3 linked regions of the Medicago truncatula genome follow. The main gene of each other region encodes a partner of the protein of the gene in region 3 in a complex. Links are inferred from orthologs where the notes say so. Each region holds a gene or a part of one and is shown on either strand. Other genes may lie near its edges. The genes, in order: signal recognition particle 54 kDa protein, chloroplastic; inner membrane protein PPF-1, chloroplastic; signal recognition particle 43 kDa protein, chloroplastic.

What was found.
Region 1: the proteins of signal recognition particle 43 kDa protein, chloroplastic (region 3) and signal recognition particle 54 kDa protein, chloroplastic are in contact, whole or in part, in an NMR structure (PDB 2HUG), measured with the Arabidopsis thaliana proteins. The link is inferred for Medicago truncatula from reciprocal best matches to the Arabidopsis thaliana genes CAO and CPSRP54. Residues at the interface, in NP_566101.1 of Arabidopsis thaliana: Glu268, Tyr269, Ala270, Glu271, Val272, Lys283, Val289, Trp291, Glu298, Trp299, Val300, Lys301, His304, Val305, Ala306, Val309; in NP_196014.1 of Arabidopsis thaliana: Pro532, Gly533, Thr534, Ala535, Arg536, Arg537, Arg539, Lys540, Ala541, Asp542, Ser543.
Region 2: the proteins of signal recognition particle 43 kDa protein, chloroplastic (region 3) and inner membrane protein PPF-1, chloroplastic are in contact, whole or in part, in a crystal structure (PDB 5E4W), measured with the Arabidopsis thaliana proteins. The link is inferred for Medicago truncatula from reciprocal best matches to the Arabidopsis thaliana genes CAO and ALB3. Residues at the interface, in NP_566101.1 of Arabidopsis thaliana: Asp273, Glu274, Asp312, Tyr313, Gly316, Leu317, Glu318, Tyr319, Ala320, Val321, Ala322, Trp343, Asp345, Met346, Thr350, Glu352, Asn356, Asp358; in NP_180446.1 of Arabidopsis thaliana: Lys454, Arg455, Ser456, Lys457, Arg458, Lys459, Arg460, Thr461.

What each region holds. Positions count from the first base shown.
Region 1 is NC_053048.1:49,543,279-49,550,937, reverse strand, and holds the start of signal recognition particle 54 kDa protein, chloroplastic, read left to right. Parts: upstream 1-4,618; 5' UTR 4,619-4,677; coding exon 4,678-4,791; intron 4,792-4,883; coding exon 4,884-5,025; intron 5,026-5,237; coding exon 5,238-5,407; intron 5,408-5,905; coding exon 5,906-6,058; intron 6,059-6,147; coding exon 6,148-6,225; intron 6,226-6,646; coding exon 6,647-6,772; intron 6,773-6,883; coding exon 6,884-6,986; intron 6,987-7,415; coding exon 7,416-7,516; intron 7,517-7,659. Other genes in the region: rho GTPase-activating protein 5, read left to right, coding at 571-691, 795-914, 1,391-1,621, 2,552-3,100.
Region 2 is NC_053045.1:31,730,545-31,737,579, forward strand, and holds the start of inner membrane protein PPF-1, chloroplastic, read right to left. Parts: upstream 3,061-7,035; 5' UTR 2,934-3,060; coding exon 2,619-2,933; intron 1,957-2,618; coding exon 1,846-1,956; intron 1,663-1,845; coding exon 1,588-1,662; intron 1,463-1,587; coding exon 1,402-1,462; intron 1,249-1,401; coding exon 1,175-1,248; intron 1,078-1,174; coding exon 973-1,077; intron 1-972. Other genes in the region: heat shock cognate 70 kDa protein 2, read left to right, coding at 6,435-6,648. UniProt on the Arabidopsis thaliana protein: Required for the insertion of some light harvesting chlorophyll-binding proteins (LHCP) into the chloroplast thylakoid membrane.
Region 3 is NC_053045.1:36,927,222-36,934,021, forward strand, and holds signal recognition particle 43 kDa protein, chloroplastic, read left to right. Parts: upstream 1-4,760; 5' UTR 4,761-4,921; coding exon 4,922-6,097; 3' UTR 6,098-6,206; downstream 6,207-6,800.

The sequences.
Region 1 (7,659 bases), on a different chromosome or scaffold from region 3:
TTTATTTGAAATTTGGGGCACTTCATCAAGGTTTTGGGTTTATTATTGGAAGATAATTGATTATTTCTTGCAACTGAAAGGACACATAATAATATTAATAAACAAAGTGATGTCTATTTGACAATTAGTCTTTTGAAGTTGGTACAGTGTAATTTACAACTAGTAAAAATCATTAGTAGTATAGATGCTTTCTTCCATCTCTGCTAATCAGGTCAAATATACCTTTTATTCCTTGTTGATTATGTTGTCAGTTTTGTTTTATTTGAAATTTGGGACCCTTCATCACTGGTGTTGGATTTATTATCATAAAATGATGCATTATTTCTTTGAACTGAAATGACACATTAATAAATAAAGTGATGTTATTTTATACATTTATCAGTATAGCTATCTTTGATACAAATAAACAAAATATCATTTACACACTTGGTTCAAAGCCTCTCTATCTGCTCATCTATTTTTTTGGCAGTATTCTCTCTTATTTACCCACCTATAATACATGTTTGATGAATGCGTCCTGAATTATATCATTGTTTTGACTGTTGGTATATTTTCAATTGTTGTCCACAGCACAAGTGTTTTTGGTGTTTCAACAGAATCTATGCAGCTTTCTTTTGATGCCAGAGGAAATAGTGTACCTACAATACTGCTGTTAATGCAAAGGCATCTGTATGCACAAGGAGGCCTGCAGGTATTTGAACTAATAATACATTCCGGAAACCTTTTGTATGATCTGTTGTTTAGTTTCAATAGACCTGAACCTTGAAATTGAACTATTAAATGCATACACCCAGGCCGAAGGAATCTTCAGAATTAATGCTGAAAATAGTCAAGAGGAGTTTGTGAGGGAACAATTGAACAGAGGAGTGGTACCAAATGGTATTGACGTGCATTGCTTGGCAGGTCTTATAAAGGTATTACTAAAACAAATTCTTTCAAAATCTTTATCCCTCTTTCCTCTTTTAAATGTTAGAGATTTATATGGAACTAGGCTCTTAGGTTGTTGGGATTTGGTCCTATCGTCTATTTGAACGTTGTCTAGATAATTTAAATTGTTAAATATGCTTTTAGCCCTTATATCCAGTTTTCATTCCCCACAAATTACAAAACTGCATACTTTTACGCCCTCTTTAGGGACTAAAAATGTGTGATTTTGTAATTCGTAGAGATTAAATGCTGGCACAAGGACTAAAGTCGAAATTCAAAATAATTATTAATTTATTATATGAATTAAAAATATATTTAACCCTAATTTTAATGTACTAATGTTAATTGTTTTCCTTTTTTAGTTACTGTAGGGAAATATGGTAATTGCATACGAAGTTGTCTAGGTAGCTATATTGAAAGGGATTATTTCATTAATTTTTGATATACTTGAGAAACTCTGTAGGCTTGGTTCAGAGAACTTCCAACTGGTATACTGGACCCTCTTTCGCCAGAGCAGGTGATGCAGTCCCAAACAGAAGAAGAATGTGCTCAGCTTGTGAGGCTTCTTCCTGCAACAGAATCCGCCCTCCTAGATTGGGCAGTAAACCTAATGGCAGACGTTGCTCAGATGGAACATTTGAACAAGATGAACGCACGTAATATTGCAATGGTTTTTGCACCAAACATGACTCACGTAAGCCAAAATCATGTTCCCTTTTATATTCAGTAGAAGGTTTTGCTCTTAGTCCCCTTTTTTTTTGCGATTGAACTTCAAAGACATTTTGTTGTGGTTATATCCTTACTTCTATGTGGTTAGTTTAACTAATCAACTGTCTTCTATTAAATAAATCAAACATTTTTTCTGAGAATTGATTTACATGGCCATATCCTTAAATAGACTTTTGGAGATCTTTTAAAGGGCAGGGGAAGCATACTAATGTAAAATGCAAAGTAGTTTAAGGATTTTAATTTTTGAAATTCCGGTTTTTTAATTTTATTTGAGACTTTGTACTTTAGGCATCTTAGCCAATGTTTGATTATCTTAACCTAGTAGAGAATAATGTTATCTTGTTTTGTCGTTTGGTTATGTTTTATCCATAAAAATACAGCCATCAGTGTGAACATTTGAGTTTGACATACCTTTTCAGCATAATTATAATATTGAGATTTTCTTTTCTTCATAGATCTCAAACCCCAATCAGAGTAGTACTTGTCCCTAGATGTGCAGTCTAGGTTTATTATTCTGCATCTCATGCTCATTGTGGAACAATACACATCCTTTGGATGGTTGAATGTTCCTTTGGAATGGCATGTTCATATCTACAGATTCTTTATGAAGCTACGAAAATTATTATTCTTTTTGTGATTAAATATATGATTATTGTTTTTATTCTGATGAATATTGATAAATTATTCGGATTAGTGCTATGAATTTGGCTGCAGTTTCTGGTATTCTTGAATCTATTCAAGTTTGTTGTGCAAAGTTTTAGTATCAGTCAAAGATCGAGGTTGATTCATGTTTCAATAACAGCATTTCTTTTATGTTTAGCAAAATTATAGTATTGGATTGAGGTTATGATTAATCTTTACGACAATAACATCATTTCTTACACATCTCTTGCAGATGGTAGATCCTTTGACTGCTCTGATGTATGCTGTACAAGTCATGAATTTCCTCAAGACTCTAGTAGCAATGACACTGAAAGAAAGAGAGGAGTCAATCACAAAATCAAATCCCTCTTCAAACCTAAATTCTTTTGATGACGACGGGCATCAGAGCGATTCACCGTTGCTTTTCAAGGATGAAAGTGAATACGGAAATGATTACAGCGACGAGGACACAGTTTTTGTCACCGCCGAGCCTTCACAACAAAGCCCCACACATCTTTTTAAAGATGACTGTGAAACTGAGAGTGGATCCAAAAGTCTGCAAACATCTACCGAAAATTTTATTCCTAGTGGAAATAGGTTGCTGGTTGACAGTTGTCCTTGCGGCGTTGTCTCTCAAATTTGCTCTATGGCAATTGGGGATCAAACAAAAAATTGCAAAAGCCTTCAGTTGAATACTTCTGATACAGACAAGTGTTCAGCAGGATCGGTGGAGAAGAACAGGGGAATTGCTCTTATTGGACGAATAAATTCAAGATCCGAGTTGGCTGAAGCTTGGCGTTGAACATGTAAAGGTGTATGTTTTTTCTATCTTGCTGTCTGGGGGAATGGGATGGATGACAAGAAAAATGGTACTCAAATAATCTTTGCGCATATGCGAGTTGCATGATTGCTGATGTCGTCGTAGTGGAGTCGTTGCATAACGTCCTTCCGAGAAGGGAATGGAATGGATGGGATGACAAGTTGTGTAAAGAGATCTGTGTGCGTTGCCACATTTTGGAAATGTCTAGTACTGATTTGTTGTGTGTTGTTGTGTTATGTTTTCGGGAGAGATTCTTAACCACGTCCTTCATTCTGTTTCATTAACCATGCAGACTTCTAACATTTGTTTTTTGGGTTCCTGTATTATAGAATTTGATGAATTTGGAGAATTGCTACTTTCTGTTACCTTTGTTTCAATGTATTATTGTAAGTAGTGGAAAACTGCTTAGATTAATTTTGAAGTCATGTTTATCCTTGTAGGGCAGCAGTGTTGTCACTCCCTTTAAAAATAGCGATATGAAGTTGGAGAAAACACCATGAGGATGCCAAATCTGGGTAAATTGAAACAAAAATTATACTTAAACTGATACAGACAATTATAATCAAGTAAATACAAAGATGCAACAATTGCATCAGCCACATTTCAAACACCAATATACCCGGAACCAGAATGTCTATATAAACTGCATTATAGTATAAGCAATACTAATATGTATATAGCTGCATCAGCATTCAGCAACACTTAAAATATCAATCTCTCCCAGATGCATATAGTGACGTCCTTTTTGATAATGCTAATATGCAGATTAGCATTAGCAATACTTCAATATCTTCACTACTATTCTTCTGTAAAAAATAAAAAATAAAAACAATAGATTTATATTGATTATATCATATGAACAATTAATGACATGTTATTCTTCAATTTATTTATATACTCCCTTTCAATTTGTGTTTAGTAGTCTGAAATAAAAGAAGTCCGGCAAGCACGACTTAAACTATAAAAATTGGGTCTACATTTGATATGTTGAGTTAGGGCGTAGGTTGTAACCCTCGGTTTTCCAATACTATGTATTTAGTTTTTTAGGTGTTAACCTCCGTTTTTTAGAGAAATTATATGTAATTAGTGTGTGTGAGTTTTACCGCTAAAATCTAGAATCGAAAAATAAATAAGAAAATGCTAACTATGTTTTTAAAACATACATATATTAAGAAATTAAATTTTAAAAATTTATCTTTTTAATATAAATCTTCTTTTTGAATTTCTTTTTTTAACACCTGAATTTGTGTCTTAAGACATACTAAGTCAGCATGAGCTAATCAAATATAATCTTCTCTTTTTTTAATATCATTTTTGTATTCCCATAAACCAATTTTATGTAAAAACAATAAGAAATGACAGTTTGTAAAATAAAAAAATAAAAAAAATTGTTGATATATTTTTTTTGAAGAAATTTTTGTTGATATTAAAAAGTAGTAAATTAGATTAATTAACATGCATCCCTTAATTTACGGCAGTTGATAATAGTCCAGTTTGGCAGTTGTGGATAAAACACAAACACAGATAGCATCAAGTAGTACTGAGTTCAGTTGGTGGAGATGGAAGCAGTACTAGCGTCCCGCCATTTGTCCACGCCACTCTCTCACCACCGAACCACCGCCTCTTCTTCGAGCAAGCTTTGTTCTTCCCTTTCTTATAGGAATTCTTTCGCGGTAAGCATGCCACGTCATCTACTATTCTTCTGATTGGTTACTCTTCCATTCATTGATAGATAAGATACTAATTTGGTTTGGTTTGGTTTCAGAAAGAGATATGGGGTTTTGTTCAGTCGAAAAGCGTAACTATGAGAAGAATGGATATGATTCGTCCAGTTGTGGTCAGAGCTGAAATGTTTGGTCAGTTAACTACTGGTCTTGAATCTGCCTGGAACAAACTCAAAGGAGAAGGTTTTTCCTTCCTTTCTCTTTTTCAATTCAACTATAATTACTTACTTTGCAACTTCCACTCTCACACGGAGACGATACTAATGATCATTAATCAATTTATAAGTAATTGAATTTAATTACATGTATTGGTATTGTTGGACACCCAAATATGTCTTCAATATAATGTGTCGACGATACAATTAGTGGATTTTAATTTCACTTGGTTTGTGCAGAGGTTTTGACCAAAGACAATATTGTGGAGCCTATGCGAGATATTAGGAGAGCTCTTTTAGAAGCTGATGTAAGTCTTCCTGTTGTAAGAAGGTTTGTGCAATCTGTTACTGATCAGGCTGTGGGTGTTGGAGTCACTCGAGGAGTCAAACCCGATCAACAATTGGTTAAGGTCAATTCATTTCAATTGTGTTATGTTTTATGTAATACTCTTAAAATTGCATTTAAATTCAACTGATTTTGTTCTTGTTTTTTTAGGAAAGAGTAAAATTGGATATTCTTAAATTCTACGCTGTGGATGGAGAGTTCCGTTGCTATAGTTTTATGTCTACATATGCACCCATTTCTAGAACATGTGATATACACACACATTTATATGATATAATATATTCAAAACTACTGTAATGGATCACTCCATTTCCTCTTTTGGAAATGGAGAGGTCTCAACTCATTGTGGAAAATGCTGTGTTGTAACAACTAAATACTGTTCACTGTTGTAGAAAGTGGACAAGTCGCCACAAATGACTGTATATTTGTGGTTTTTCTTTATAACATTGTGCAAGTGAGAGAACTTGTTTGCATGAAATAAAATAACATCAACTAGATTTATTTTTTGAATACTGAAGTTCCATACAAGAACAAAATGGGTGTTGATTGTTGGGTTTTGCAGATTGTTCATGATGAACTTGTACAATTGATGGGTGGAGAGGTCTCGGAATTGACTTTTGCCAAAACTGGGCCCACTGTCATTTTATTGGCTGGACTCCAGGGAGTTGGGAAGACAACCGTGTGTGCAAAGTTAGCAAATTATTTCAAGAAACAGGTGTATTTCCAATCTCCTTCATCACCTTCTAATACTTTTTTTGGTTCCTTCTTCGCCTTATTGAAACGTTCATATTCATCTGATCTCAGGGGAAGAGTTGCATGCTAGTTGCCGGGGATGTTTATAGACCTGCTGCTATCGACCAGCTTACTATCTTGGGTAAACAGGTACCAGATTTTTGTTTCATTGAAGTTGTTAACAAGTTTCAATTTCTTTAATGATACATACACCACATTTAAATATAGTCAGTCATGTAATTTTAATTCAATTAAATATAGTTTTTTGTTGCATGAAACCATGAAGAATGTGCATTGTAGTATATTAGAAGTGATGTGTTTCCTGGGCTACTGGAATTATGCTAGCCTTGATAGGTGCTGCTTTAGCATCTTCCACTGATTTTAATGATCTGTCTGGATAAAAATTATGAAGGAAACACGAGAAATTTTGCGAGCATTCTTATTTTTTAACAAATTGGATTCAGGCATCTAACATCAAGATCCAATTAGCATTGTTTGACTCATCTCTTAACCTTTATTCTCTCTATTTGCATCTAGTTAGATGATTATAATTAGTTATAGCTTGTATCAGGTGGACGTCCCTGTATATACAGCAGGTACCGATGTTAAACCATCAGACATTGCTAAACAAGGTTTTGAAGAGGCCAAAAAGAAGAAAATTGATGTGGTTATTGTTGACACTGCTGGTAGGCTGCAGGTAATTCTTTATATGACTGAAAATGTTACAATGAATAATTATTTCATGATTTTTTTAATGTTTGAATAAATTCTTTTATGCTCATCAAGGTTGTTATTTCTTATGAAACAGATAGACAAAGCAATGATGGATGAGTTAAAAGATGTGAAACGGGTACTGAATCCAACAGAAGTCTTGTTAGTTGTGGATGCTATGACAGGGCAAGAAGCAGCAGGTATTCAAAAGTGACGTTTAAAGTATCAACTCTTACATTAAAAAGAAAATATTTTTCTATAAAAATAAATTATTTATATTTATGAACTGATTCTAAATTAATGGCTGGCATATTATTAAACATATATTATTATATTTTACTACCAAATTGGTGTAATCCGAGGGGAAGCAACTTAAGTATGTGGTCAAGGGTTCAATCCCTGACTTATGCGTACAGAAATTCACCTTTTGGGAGAGGCAACTCTTGAATGCGCTCCAGATCCTCGAATGAGTTGGTCTTTACATTTGCTCGCAAGTGATACCTTTAGAAACCAAAAAACCATATTTTAGTTAGGTTTTTGTATAATTATGCTCCTGATGTTGGTTATTATACTCTGACAGCCAAAACCATCCCAAAATCGACTTCACTGTTTTGTTTTTGATTGAACAGCTTTGGTGACTACTTTCAATCTTGAGATTGGAATAACTGGTGCCATCTTGACAAAGCTAGATGGTGATTCAAGAGGTGGAGCAGCTTTGAGTGTCAAAGAGGTTTGCTTGTTTTATCTTAGCTTTCATGAGATGTTTTTATTTTGTATTTTACTTTCAGACAATGCTACCTTACATTGGTTCTCGTCTTAACCAATAGTTACCCGCTATACCAGAATTTTCAACATTACGAGCTCTTGAAAGTT
Region 2 (7,035 bases), about 5.2 Mb from region 3:
TATGATATAAACATTTGTGCAAGTGCTTGGAAAAACTTACTAAAATACTTGATGATATGTTCATTTGCATTCAACTTATTTTCATAAGCTTTTATGGATAGGCTATTAGAGAACTTCATTTTGTAATGAAACAACTCAAAAAGAACTGTAGTGCAATTAACTCTCATTTCCTCTTTGATGGTAGAAACAATTTGAAAAAAAAAAAAGGGCAGCTCGGTGCACTAAAGCTCCCACATACACAGGTCCAAGAAGGGGTCTCGCCATTTTGGTGTATCCTACGCAGTCTTCCCCTGTTTTTTACACAAGAGGCTCTTTCTAGAACTTGAACCCGTGACCTTTCAGTCACGTGACAACAACTTTAGCGTTGCATCAAGGCTCTCCCTTGGTAGAAACAATTTGTATATAAATTTTAATACGACAAGTGCTTGTGAATTAATGTTTAATTAAGCAGTCGACCTAAATGCTCATTTAGTCCCTATTGGCACATTCTGTGGTGAACAGACCATACCGGCATACCCCCACCCCCAAAATGCTAAATTCCAAACTACTAAAAGAATCTGCATCACTAAATGTGCTGCATGTTATATACTATTTAATCCAACTGGCACCCATGCTGCATAAACCATGTCTCGTATTTACTGAAATCTAAGACTAACTGGGACAATAGTGCATATGCATAACTTATAAAAAGGGACCTTGCATATATTTTCACAAGCAGAGCCTACACAAATTGCTACATTACTAACTATGAAAAGAATTTTTATCAGCAATTGTATTGTACGACATACAATTTAGAATTTTATTGTTTCAGGAACCATGACTGGGAATAAGCTCCAAAAAAAATTATTGTTAAGAGTAAATAGTGTGATGTCTGAAAATCATAGTGTTTGTGTCACAGACTCACAAGTACAAGGAAAAAGAAATAGCCAAATGCAAAAAAATTATTTCGCTTATGAGCAAAGGATAACTTACCACAAATGGAAAAAGCCAAGAAATTCCAGATCCACTTTGTCTAGCAGCAATGCTAGTGGGACCACCGAGAGAAGGGATCCATAAGAAACCTTCTGTTAACAGTCCCTTCAAATTAAAAGTTTTCAATAATTAGCAAAAATCATGTAGTTGTAATTCGTCTATCAAAATCTAAAATTATAATAGTTTATATACCATTAATTACCTCATTTGCCACATTAGATAAAGCTTGGTATAGACCAATCCAGACGGGAATAGTAGCCAAAGTCGGTAAACAACCTATAAAAAATGATAAAATTTCCTTCTATTAAGTACAGCCCAGTTATGATATTGCAAATATTTTGACATCATATTATCACATGTCAAAGCATTATTATACAGAATCAGAGCTGAGAAGAAAATGATAAAGGCAATAGTAAGATATAAGTGTACCTGCCAATGGGTTAACCCCAGCTTGGGTATATAGCCTTGAAGTCTCAAGTTGTATTCTTTCCTTGAAATGAGGGCAATGAAATAAGTAGTTAGAAACAACCATGCTATCATTTTAAGGTACAAAATCAATATTTACTTAAGATTAAATTGGATGCTTAATAAGTAACAAACAGCAACACCCCTCACCTGATTACCAGCATATCTTTGTTGAATGGCCTTAATTTTAGGTTGAAGGTTTTGCATAGCTAGTGTTGATTCAACCTACATGTATTAAATAAAGTCAGAACTTCATTTCATATAACTGAAAGAAAAATCCATTTATGGTTTTTTTTTTTTCCAACTGGCAATCCATTTATGGTTTGTTTGTAATGTTTCAAACGAGGTTATCATAATTTCATGGTTTCAGTAAATTTGCCTATAGAAATTGTTGTAATTTGTACTAACCTGTTGCTTTGTCAAAGGAAGCGTAGCCGCCTTAACAATAAGAGTGAGCAATATGATAGCAAATCCATACGAATAAGGCACATGCACGGCAGACAAACCATCCTTTAATATCTGAGTAACAACAAGCAAAACATTTCCTGTTATAAAATGCAATCCTCCAATTTTATTACAGGAACGTGGAACATTTGTAGGTAGATTTTTTTTCCTTTTTATGGCTATTTTACATGATAACTCTAAAGCAAAAGGGTAAGGGCCAAGTCCATTGAAACTAGAAAACCATTCGAAACAAATAGCATTACTCTTTCCATTTATACGTATACATTTCCATATAACCTAAAAAAAATACACAAGTTTAACTTGTTCAATCAAATTAACAGAAAAAGTAAACAGTAAGTTAGTAACACTGAACACTTTCCCTGCAACATATCATTTCAGGATAAGAAAAAACGGTTCAATCTTCTAAAAAAACTCAACAACCTCAATAATACAAGTTTCATGAATCAAAGAGCAACAAATCCTTTTATAGTAAGGTCATGTTTGGATTGACTTATTTGAGCTTATTTATTGGTATAATCACTTATGAGACTGTTTGGAAGATCTCATAGAAACAAATTATTACATCTCCCAAACTGTTTTCAACTTATTTTCATAAGTTCGGTTTGATTTTATTTCATATATTTTCTTTGGAATGAATTATAAACAAAAATTAGTTAAATTACGAATATTAAGAAAGATAATTGATAAAATTAAAAAGCAGAAGTTGTGAAGATTACCTTAAGAACAAACTCCATACCATCGGAGATGAAACCAAACCAACCTCCGTTCTTCTGCACAGTAACATCCGTGGAAGTGGAAGTAACCGCATCGGCCGTAACGGCGGCATCAGCAAGCGTATAAAGAAGGCCTTCAGCTCTGGCGAAGACACCGGCAACATCAATAGAATGAGTTAAGGATTGAATTGGAGGAATTTGGTGGAAACTGAAGTGAACTTTGGTGTATAGTCTGGTGCGGTTAGGGGAGAAGTTGCGGTGAAGTGAAGGAAGTGGAGTTCCGATGAATGATGGAGATGAAATCAGTGTCTTCGCCATGGATGATGAGAAGGGTGATAGAGAGAGGCTTGAAGGGCGAAGGCTTCAGCTTCTCGTCACAGAATAGAGAAAAGAGATGAGAGGATATTTTTTTGCTATTATCCGAATGAAATGCATTTTGTTTTGCGAGGTAGAGACAACTGCACGATATGGGTAGTGGAAGATTTTCAGCCAGCGACTGTGTGACACGTCATTACATATTATTACCGGTGGTTATTTGCTTCTTGCAATTTTTAGTCAAAAAAAATGTTATTTGCTCTTGCAATTTTTAGTCAAAAAAAAAAAAAATGGAAGGAAACGGTGTTCAATTAAAGAACGATGACTTCAATTTTAGATAATTTTTTATTTTAAAAATATTCACATACATAGAAAACATTACATTGTAAACTTGTGGCATAACATAAATCAAATTATGGAAAATAATAAAATCTCAACGAAAACAACTCCAGATAGTTTGTCACATTGTATTGAGCTACTCTAAATAAAAATTTAAATGTCAATCGCATAAGTGTTTGACTTATTCGTAACTAAATTAAATTTAAGTATATTGTGATGGCATAATGTTGATAACTCCTTCGCTCCGTCTTCACTCTGCTCTTTATATTATGCGTTGTCCAAATCAACTAAGGTCACGAAGACGTCAATCTTCTCTTTAAGCAACACCATCTCATTACCTACACAAAAAATTAAACAAATACTCATAAGAAAAACATACAAAGTGACTAATTATTTCAAGAATATAATTGAATGAAATAAATATCTTAAATATAAGTGGCAATCATCCTAACAACAATCAACATATTAACAAACAAGTGCGCTAAGATTAACGCAAGACGACAATAAACATGGTATGCAAGACTTGACTCGTGTAATCTAACAACATCTACTCCAACATTTTGATTAATTTTACTAAGTTAATGCAAGCCGAGAAGCCAGCATGTCGAAGAGGATAGTCTATTCACAATACATGTATCAGTAAGATGGTCAAAACGCCCCACGATGCTTGAAAAGTTTCAAATTACTTAATTTTATCTATATAAATTATGACAGTTATTGACTTGTTATGCAAGGAACCTGATGATAATCCTTCAATTTAGTCTGAATATTAGATAGCTAGATCATGAGTGGAAATTCATGTACTATGATCTTGTTCAAATGCATTTTTTTAGTATTAAAGAAACATGAATAAAGATCCAAGCAAAAAGGACAAGAAGATCGAGTTCATGCAATTCGCTAGGCGAGCAGAAAGCACACTCCCGACGATTGTCACTAAGATTGGAGTCTTGAAACGGGGCACCATTCAATGTGATGTATTCCAATTCTCATAGTGAATTCTGACAGATTAGTGACTCATGTGAATGAGCTGCTAAAGATTTCAAGGTAAAAAAATCACAATTCTCTTGCCGAGCATACAATTCGTCTAGCAAAATGTCACTTTCAAAAAACTAAATAAAGAGGAATCAGTCACATTGACATTGTTTGTCATTCTATCACTTTGGAAAAGGAGAGAAACGCAAGGATAATAGAGGAGCAAGTCTACAAGCAAGGCAGAGCATTACAACTTGAAGAATAAAGTGTTGACGCAACATCCTCTCTCGTTTCATCTCTTTGTTGTAAGTTACCATGACAATCTCTAACTAAAGCTCTCGTTGTTTTATGATTAGGTCTAGTTAATTACGATTTTAATGTAAATACTTGATATGACTAGTTAAATATAACTTTTGTTTCATTATATCAACGTTATTATTCTTGCACTTAAGGCTTTTCCTACGTGAAACTTTGAATACGATCTTTTGATTTAGTAAGTGCAAAACATAAACTTTTCTTTTGTCCAAGGACATGGTATAATAGCATTTGTATTGCGAGACATCGATCTAGGTTTACAATCACACACACTATCAAAACATATAGTGCTATTATATTGCGTAATTGAGCGAGACATCCAAAATTAAAGGATGGAATAGATCTCCCATTATTTACAAAATATCGAGATGTATGGTGAGCGATAGATAAAAGTATATCTAAAATACTACAAGTATATAACAATCAATAAAATACATTATACAATTAACTAACAAAACTTAAACCTAACACAACTCTCTCATATTGAAGTTTTCATCACTTGTTATTATGTTATCTATCAGCAAATTTTTACAAACTCTAGTCTTAAAATATTGAAAATAGTTTAACAGTTTGAATTTACCAAATCTCTTGTAGATCAATAATCTATATATAGTTTGGTACTGCAACTTGGCTTTATCAGTCCTCATGAAAAAAAATTCTTTTCAATCAAATGCGGTTTAATTAATTTAAATTTCTTTTTGGATTTCCAAATTATGATTGTGAAAAAAATTCTATTAATATTAATATTACAAAGATACAAAAAGTAAATGTCATACAAAAGTTAACATATAAAAAACTAATATTATGGAACAACAATGATCGATTATATTTGAAATAGTAAAAGAATATTAATCAAACCTATAAGCATTACCAAAAAATTTCCTTAAGGTATATATAGTGTGTTATAGACGAGCCCGTCAACAGTTCCACCAGAGCGATTTGGTTGAAAGTCCATGCATAGGAAGCGTCGATAAAACCATTTATGAGGGGATATAAATATGGACAGATGCTATCCAATTTTTCAAAAAAAAAATGGGGTAACATCTGCCTACCCTGATTTATTTTATTTTGTTTTAATGTGTATGAGTATATGGTTTTTATATTTTGCCACCTAAATAATATATATTCAACTACATTAAATAAATTTATTTGTCAAAAATTGGTAGAAACATGAAAGTTAAAATAATTATTGCTAACATGCCCCGATAACCATGTCATCTCTAGTAATTTAGTACTTCATCCGTTTTAAAATATAAACAAAATTCATTTTTTATGTTCATTTATTTAATGATGTATGTGGTCATATTATGAACCACATATATCATAACCACATACATCATTAAATGAATGAACCTAAAAAATAAATTTTGCTTATATTTTAAAACGGACCGGAGTAAAATCGTGAAGAAAAAGATAACATAAATTTTCTATCAAAAAATAATATAAAATTAATCCTATTGGAGCGTTATATAAAGCGCACGGTTGATAGCCAATGGCGCGGGAAAGCCAATCAAAGAAAAATAAAATATAAAGGCGGTACGAAAACTCAAACCAACTACAACGCGTGTCCTTTCAGAATTTTCTCGAACGTGCTAGACAATGCTAGAGAAATCCCACACCCTCAATTCAAATTTAGATCAAATCGTCACCGTCCAAATTACTCATCCAACGGCTAAAAACACTATACCGAACATTCCAGACATCAATCCTGTTCTATATTAACACAAAGCTTCTCTCCTCAACTCATTCAATTCAGTTTCAAAGAAAACAAAAAACAAAACTTCAATTCATTCTCTAGTACTCAAAACCCTAGTTTTTTCTATTCTCAACTCTACAAAAACCCTAGTTTTCATTCAGAAGGAAATTTCTTGAGAGATTATGGCTGGAAAAGGCGAAGGACCTGCAATTGGAATAGATTTGGGAACAACTTACTCATGTGTTGGTGTTTGGCAACATGATCGTGTTGAAATCATAGCAAATGATCAGGGTAATAGAACTACACCTTCTTATGTTGCTTTCACTGATACAGAACGTTTGATCGGTGATGCTGCTAAGAATCAGGTTGCTATGAACCCTACTAACACTGTTTTCGGTAAGTACTCTTAAAATCAACTTCTTAATCCTTTATTTTCTGAAGTTTTTATTCTGTTTTTAGAACATGCATGAGTTGAAATTTCTAACACTCTATTTCGTTCTTATTGTACTAAAAGTAGAAAAGTGAATTTTATTGTTGATCTTATTATTGTAAAATTGCTGATAACATGATAACATCAGAGCATGGGTTGAAATTTCCAGTAATTTGTTTTTATTTTTTTTTTATTTTTATAATAAATAATTAGTTTCAGAGTGTTTGCATATAAGCTAGAAACGAGAAATTTATTGTTAATAGTTGTAAAATTGTTGATAATAGTTTGTGCATTGATTATATAATTAGTTTGGTTATATGATTATGTTGAAGTGTTAGAACATGAGTTGAAAT
Region 3 (6,800 bases):
CGAACCGAGTCTCGAACATTATTCATCTTAGATGAAGAAGTTATATTTAAATTTTGAGATAAATCCAAATTAACTGGTCTACGATAATCATCGCGATCAAGGGTTATGTCTTCATCCTCAAACCGACTGAAATCAACATCCATATCAGCATTCCTTCTAATAAAGTTGTGTCCATTGTTGCAATAACCACTTGAACCTGTGTCTTAATTGTGAATTTAGGCATGCGTCGTAGAATTGCAAATCTATTCCTCCATACACCAAAAGTTCTTTCTATTGTGCACCTTAAACTTGAGTGATAATAATTGAATACCTCATTATTGAAGACGATGAAATATTGAAACTTGAGTGCACCTTAAACATGTTTGCCCAACTGATGTTTGCAAACCGAAACACCAGAAGGAAGAGGCAGTCCAGTTAACATAAAAAAATCCTAGAAAGTCTAGAAAGCAATTACAGAGACAAACAAAACCAACCAGGCCCTTGGCCAAAAAACTACCCCCAACCGTAGCAGGTTAGCAGGCCAGGAACAGCAGCTGAAGCCGCAACCAAACCAGCCGCAAAACCATAAGAAACATGCTTTGAATGTCACAAAAAACATAAGAAATCATGGCATTACAAATATAGCTTATATATAACTAGTTAAAACTGAAATATAGAGTTTAAGGAGGATAAGTGAACAACAAATCCGAAGCAAAAAAACAACATAAGTGAACCAAAAATACGAGCATAATTATCACACAACATAAGCTTTCATTAAGGGATAGAAACATTACATAAGTTATTAGTACTTCATAAGAGTACTTCATAGTTACTAGCACTTCTTAGATTACTTCCTAATTGAAAGGCAAAACATAACAGTACTTCATAGTTACAGGTACTTCCTAGATTACTTCTTAATTTAAAGACAACGGAACATTACAACATTAAAGACTAAACATAACAGTACTTCATAGTTACTAGTACTTCCTAGATTACTTCTTAATTCATAGTACATCCTAGCTTAGATTGCTTCTTAACTCATAGTACTTCCTAGCTTACTTCCTAGTCACATAGGTTCCAAATTACATAGTACTTCCTATATTCAAGAAACCTCTTATCTATGAGGTGAAAAGAGTAACTAAAGTATGCACAAATCAATGACAGCAAAACACTAGTAAAAACTGAACCAAAATATTGGAGAACAAAGTCAAATAACCAAGCATTAATATCATATATGCATATATCAAGCAAACCTGATATGTCTTGATGAAGTTTCCTACATTAGATGGTTTTTTTATTAATTGTATATCATTCTTAAGGTTTACAATCAGTTGTCAACACTTTAAATTATATGTGCAGCGAAATATTTTGCTTCTTGTACACATGCTTTTATCACTGTTGTATATATGTGCAGTTTATTACCTTTGGATTGGAAGTGCTTATTACTTTTATAACAGAAACATCATAACACAAAAATGCACCAAAAACTAAACCATAATAATAGCAAAACTAAAGAAAAACTTAAAATTTATTTTCAAACTCCATCAATATCATTATCATTTTAAAAGCAAAACAAAGAAAAAAACAAAGAAGCAATCATAATTAAGTTTAAGGAAAACAAATAAAACAATATTTATTCATTCATTCATTTTATCTAACACATCAAATGCATTGTTATCATAACTGAATTAATGGATACAGGAGGATAATTCGAACTTACCTTGAGCTATCCAACACTGCTTCTATTTGGAACTTTGCTTAATTTCCTTTTCTTGCGTGCTTGAGAGAATGAAAAGGGCGAGAGATGAGGCAACATATATAAAAAGTTTTTAGGTAGGTTAACCGATTGATTTTGATCTGTAAAATTAAATATGATGAAAGAAATTAGAGTTTAATGAAGTCATGATATGGGTGAAAAAAACAGCTTTGTCTTCAATGTTGTTTGACAGGAGATTAGGATTCAGATAAGCAAGAAGTTATGATATAGGAGAAAAAACAGCTTTGTAAAATTAAGATAAACAACTTTTGAAAATTCAGATAAACATGAGTTATGATGTAAGGTGAGAAGTTAGTTGAGAATCAAGGGTAAAAAAGAGAAATTGGGGGAAAACAAACCTACGGTTGTGAAAATTGATTTTTAGAAGCTAGGAATTGCAGCTTCATTGAAAATCGATTCTGATGATGCAAACTTGCAGCGACGGCGGAAGGTTGAAGGAGAGCCAAACAACGTCAAAGCGCTTTTGAGGAAGACAGACGTGCGTTTCCCCTTTCCCACTAGGTAACCAAACATGTACTCAATAGACTAGAGTTATCGTGGTCAAAAAAGACTCATACTAACTATTCATATTATAATGATTTTCTACCTCCTTTTTTGTTTTCACTACTTCATGTGGGACTTCAATAAGTATCCATTTTAACACAAAAAGTTCCGCCCCATTCCTTTCAAATACACAGCAAAACATAAAAAAAAAACTTTTGTGGAACACAAAAGTTTGTCCGACGTGTGCAAATAAGTAGTTTTGACTCTTGCACTAAGCGCAAGTTTGATTTCACAATTAGATAAATAAGCCTCATAATATATCATTTCACTCGATGGTATGATTTATTGAACTTGGTGAAAACAAACATGTATATGGAAAAAGACTTGTTTTATTTGTGCACCATAAAATTGATCTATCCATTGAATAATTTATAGTTTGATTTTAGGGTTAATGGTGTTTTACCCTCCTGCAAAATATTTTTTTTTATTTACCCCCTGTAATTTTATTTTTTTTGGAATAACCCCTAATAGGTCATAAAAAAAAAAAATCTGCAAAAAAAAAATATTCGTTTTTTTTATGACCTATTAGGGGGTATTCAATTTTTTATTTACAGGGGATAAATAAAAAATAATTTACATGGAGGAAAACCAGAAATGACCTATATTATAGGGGGTAAAACACTTTTAACCCTTGATTTTAATAAGTTTTTGACCCCTTAAAATATACTACTTATCGATTTTAGTCCATAAAAAATTATTTTTTGTTTTTAGTCATTGAAAATATTTAAAAAATTATTTTTGTTCTTACTATTATTTTATATCCCTTCATATTTGTTCATTTTTAATCCCTTACACATTATTGATCAATTTCGACAAAATTACGTTGACTAAAAATAAAAATCATTTTTATAGGAACTAAAAAAGGTCAAATCTAAGGTGCACAAAGATGATAAGCCTTGCACAATGCATAATAATATTCCCATAATTGGATCAAAAGTATCGCCGTTAAATTAAATTTAATATAATAAGATTTATTAATCCAATCGTAGCGACAAGTCTTTTTTTTTTTTTTTTTAACAGAAAAATGAGACTTATTCATGGTGATAGAGTAATTTACTTGTATATGTTAGACAAAACCACTAAAAAATGTTATATTTGTAGTGATTATAAATATATTTAAACCTTCTATCTTTTGGCAATGAATGATAAAATAATAAAAATTAATAAATGAAACGTAAAATTTGAAGAAAAAATGTTACACAAAAACACAATTTTTTTTTGTTACACACAAAAACACTATATATGTTTATACAAGATTAAATAAGTTGCTCAAAAAATAAAAGATTAAATAAGTTTTTTTTTATAATTTCTAATATTGTTTCTATTGTTGTAGATTGTTCCTTCTGTTGTCGTAGAATGTTCCTATTTTAATGAGATTTAATTTAACTAATTTAAACAATATTACAAAAATGATAAAATAGATTAAATGAAAGATAGGAGTAGAAGAAAAAAACTAGCCTAAAAGAATGTATCTCCTTTATATATTGATATAGATTTTTAATTAAAAATTTAAATAATAGGAAATTACGTTTTGGTCTCAAATTTTTCTTTGATTTTTGGTTCCCAAAAGTTTTGCTTCACCGTTTTTGGTCTTTGCTTTTAAATCAAGTCATGTGTATCATTTAAAATTTTATACTTTTTCTGTAATCATGTTTTGTACATTATAGAATCCTCTCTTGCAAAATTTTTTTATTTTTTTTTAACAAGGATGAATTTTTATGTTTTTGACACTTAAAAATTTATATTTAATTTATGTTTTATTATAAAAAATGGAGACATTATAGTAATACTAAAAATATTCTTATTATCCTTGCCAATATAATTACCCGTTGTGACGTGACATAACCTTTTTGTCCACGTGTATAGTTAACTGCCATATCATAGGGTGAAAATCAAGGGGTTTTTTGAAATTTTGCAAAATTGATGGTGTTTTTTTTTTACGAAAGCTCGCAATTTTTTAGGGTAATTGACTATTTACTCAATTTACAATCTATAGTAGATTTCTTGGACTCCACTCATACCAGATTTTGGTGGTATAGGGAAAACATACAATTTGGGCCCAAACTAATAAGTATAAAACAAAAATTGAATTCCTAAATGTAAAATAATTTGCTTGAAGATGATAGTCTTATTACGTTATAAGAATATACTAAATTTTGTATATTTTACTGTAGAAAATAATCAATACTCTCAATTATACGTAATATAAAATTAAAAAAATTAAATTGATCAATATATCACATTTAAGTTTATCAATTTCATACAAATGCAATCATGATTTTATTTGTTTAGTGAGGAAACAAAACTAGTGTCCAAGGTTGTGGCTAGTTTTGTTTTTTAAGTAGTTTAATGGCTAAAATTCATCTTAAAAAAAGATTAACAAGTAAAATAAAATACAGATCCAACATATAAAAATATATGTTCCTACCAACTAAGTGAGCTATGCTCATGCGAGTGGCTAGTGTTTTTATCCTTTGCCAAAAGAGCAAAATGAAGTGCAAAAAACAAAGGACAAAATAAAATCATCCAATCCAATTGAAAGCACGAAGTGGATATGGTTCCTTATCTAGTCAATACCCCAAATCCCCTTCCACATGTTGATTCAATTCAAACACAACAACCATGGAAGCTTTGTTCCTCACGAAACCAATTTCTCACTTCAAACCCAAACACTCTCTATCTCCCAAACACCCATTTGAATTTCACCACCACCACCACCACCACCAATCTCTCACTCTCCGCCACAAACCCACCAAACTTCCCACCGTCACCACCGCAACTCAAAACCACCAACAACAACAAGAACAAGAACAAACAACACCCAAAACCATCGAAGATGAAGAACCCTACGGCGAAGTCAAAAAAATTATCGGAAGCAAAGCCTTGGAAGATTCCACCGGCATGGAATATCTCATCGAATGGGAAGATGGCCATCAACCTTCCTGGGTCCCCGCCGACTTCATAGCAAAAGACGTCGTCGCTGAATACGAAACTCCCTGGTGGACCGCCGCTAGAAAATCCGACGAAAATGCCCTCAAAACAATCCTTGAAGCCGACGATTACCGCGACGTAAATGCAGTAGACTCTGATGGTAGAACAGCACTTCTATTTGTAGCTGGCCTCGGCTCAGAGCCATGCGTTAGGCTCTTAGCCGAAGCTGGCGCCAATTTAGACCACCGCGATAATAGCGGTGGTCTATCCGCGCTGCACATGGCAGCCGGATATGTAAGACCTGGAGTAGCAAAACTACTCTTGGAACTCGGTGCTGATCCGGAAATTAGCGACGATCGTGGAAGAACAGCGTTGGATTTAGCGAGGGAGTTGTTAAAAGCGACGCCAAAGGGGAACCCAATGCAATTCGGAAGAAGAATGGGGTTAGAAGGTGTGGTTAGGGTTTTAGAAGGTGCAGTGTTTGAATATGCTGAAGTAGAGGAGATTATGGAGAAGAGAGGGAAAGGTGAGAATTTGGAGTATTTGGTGAAATGGAAAGATGGAAGTGCTAATGAGTGGATTAAGGGGAGGTTTGTGGCGGAGGATTTGGTGAGGGATTATGAAGCTGGGCTTGAATATGCGGTGGCGGAAGCGGTGGTTGGTCGGAGAGTTGGTGATGATGGGAAGTATGAGTTTTTGGTGAAATGGGTTGATTTGGATGAACCCACTTGGGAGCCCGAGGAGAATGTTGATTCTGAGCTTGTTAAAGTGTTTGATTTGAGTAATAATCAAGCTCAGCCTGGTAATGATAATGGGGTTTCTACGGTTGATTTGAGTCAGAATAGTTCAAATATTGTTAGTGCATGATAATTGTTTTGTTTCATAAATCAAATCCATTACAAATTTTTGCTTGTTACAATTTACATTATGAGTCATTTTTTAGCAATACTCCCAATTAGTAAGAAAGTTTGAAACAGACGCTTAGACTCTATTTGACGGTCCAACGACTAGTTTATAACGGATAATTTGTGTATAAAGTTCATATGATTAAAGTAGAATTATTTGGTGAGTACAAATTTCTATTGCATATGAGTGATTAGAAATACTCCAACTATTAGTAAGTAATGCTTCCAACCAGTAAGAAGCTTTGAAACAAGTCGCGGCAAACACCACTTATGCTGTATTTGACGATCATAGTTACGTCCGAAATCAAAGAAGAAGTTGCTATCTGTCCCGCCTTATTTGCTTACATGTTAATGTACACGTACGAGGCTGGCAAACCAAGAGGTTCTAATTGAGCAGAATAATGTAAATGACACTCTAGATGCTTTATTTATATGCAAGAGACATAGTTTCGAATGCAATGAGTAACGGCAAGGAATACATAGGGCATCCTTTATATGCTTATCTCCAGCCGATTGTCACAAAAACAATGCATCCCACTAAATATCAATTGAGGCTTAGACAAAGGAGTTATGAAGGATATGCATAGCGAGTAACTCAATAGTTAGAGTTTCATTTCTTGAACACTTTTACTAAAAAGAAGCATTTCATGCTTTTCGAGGGACCA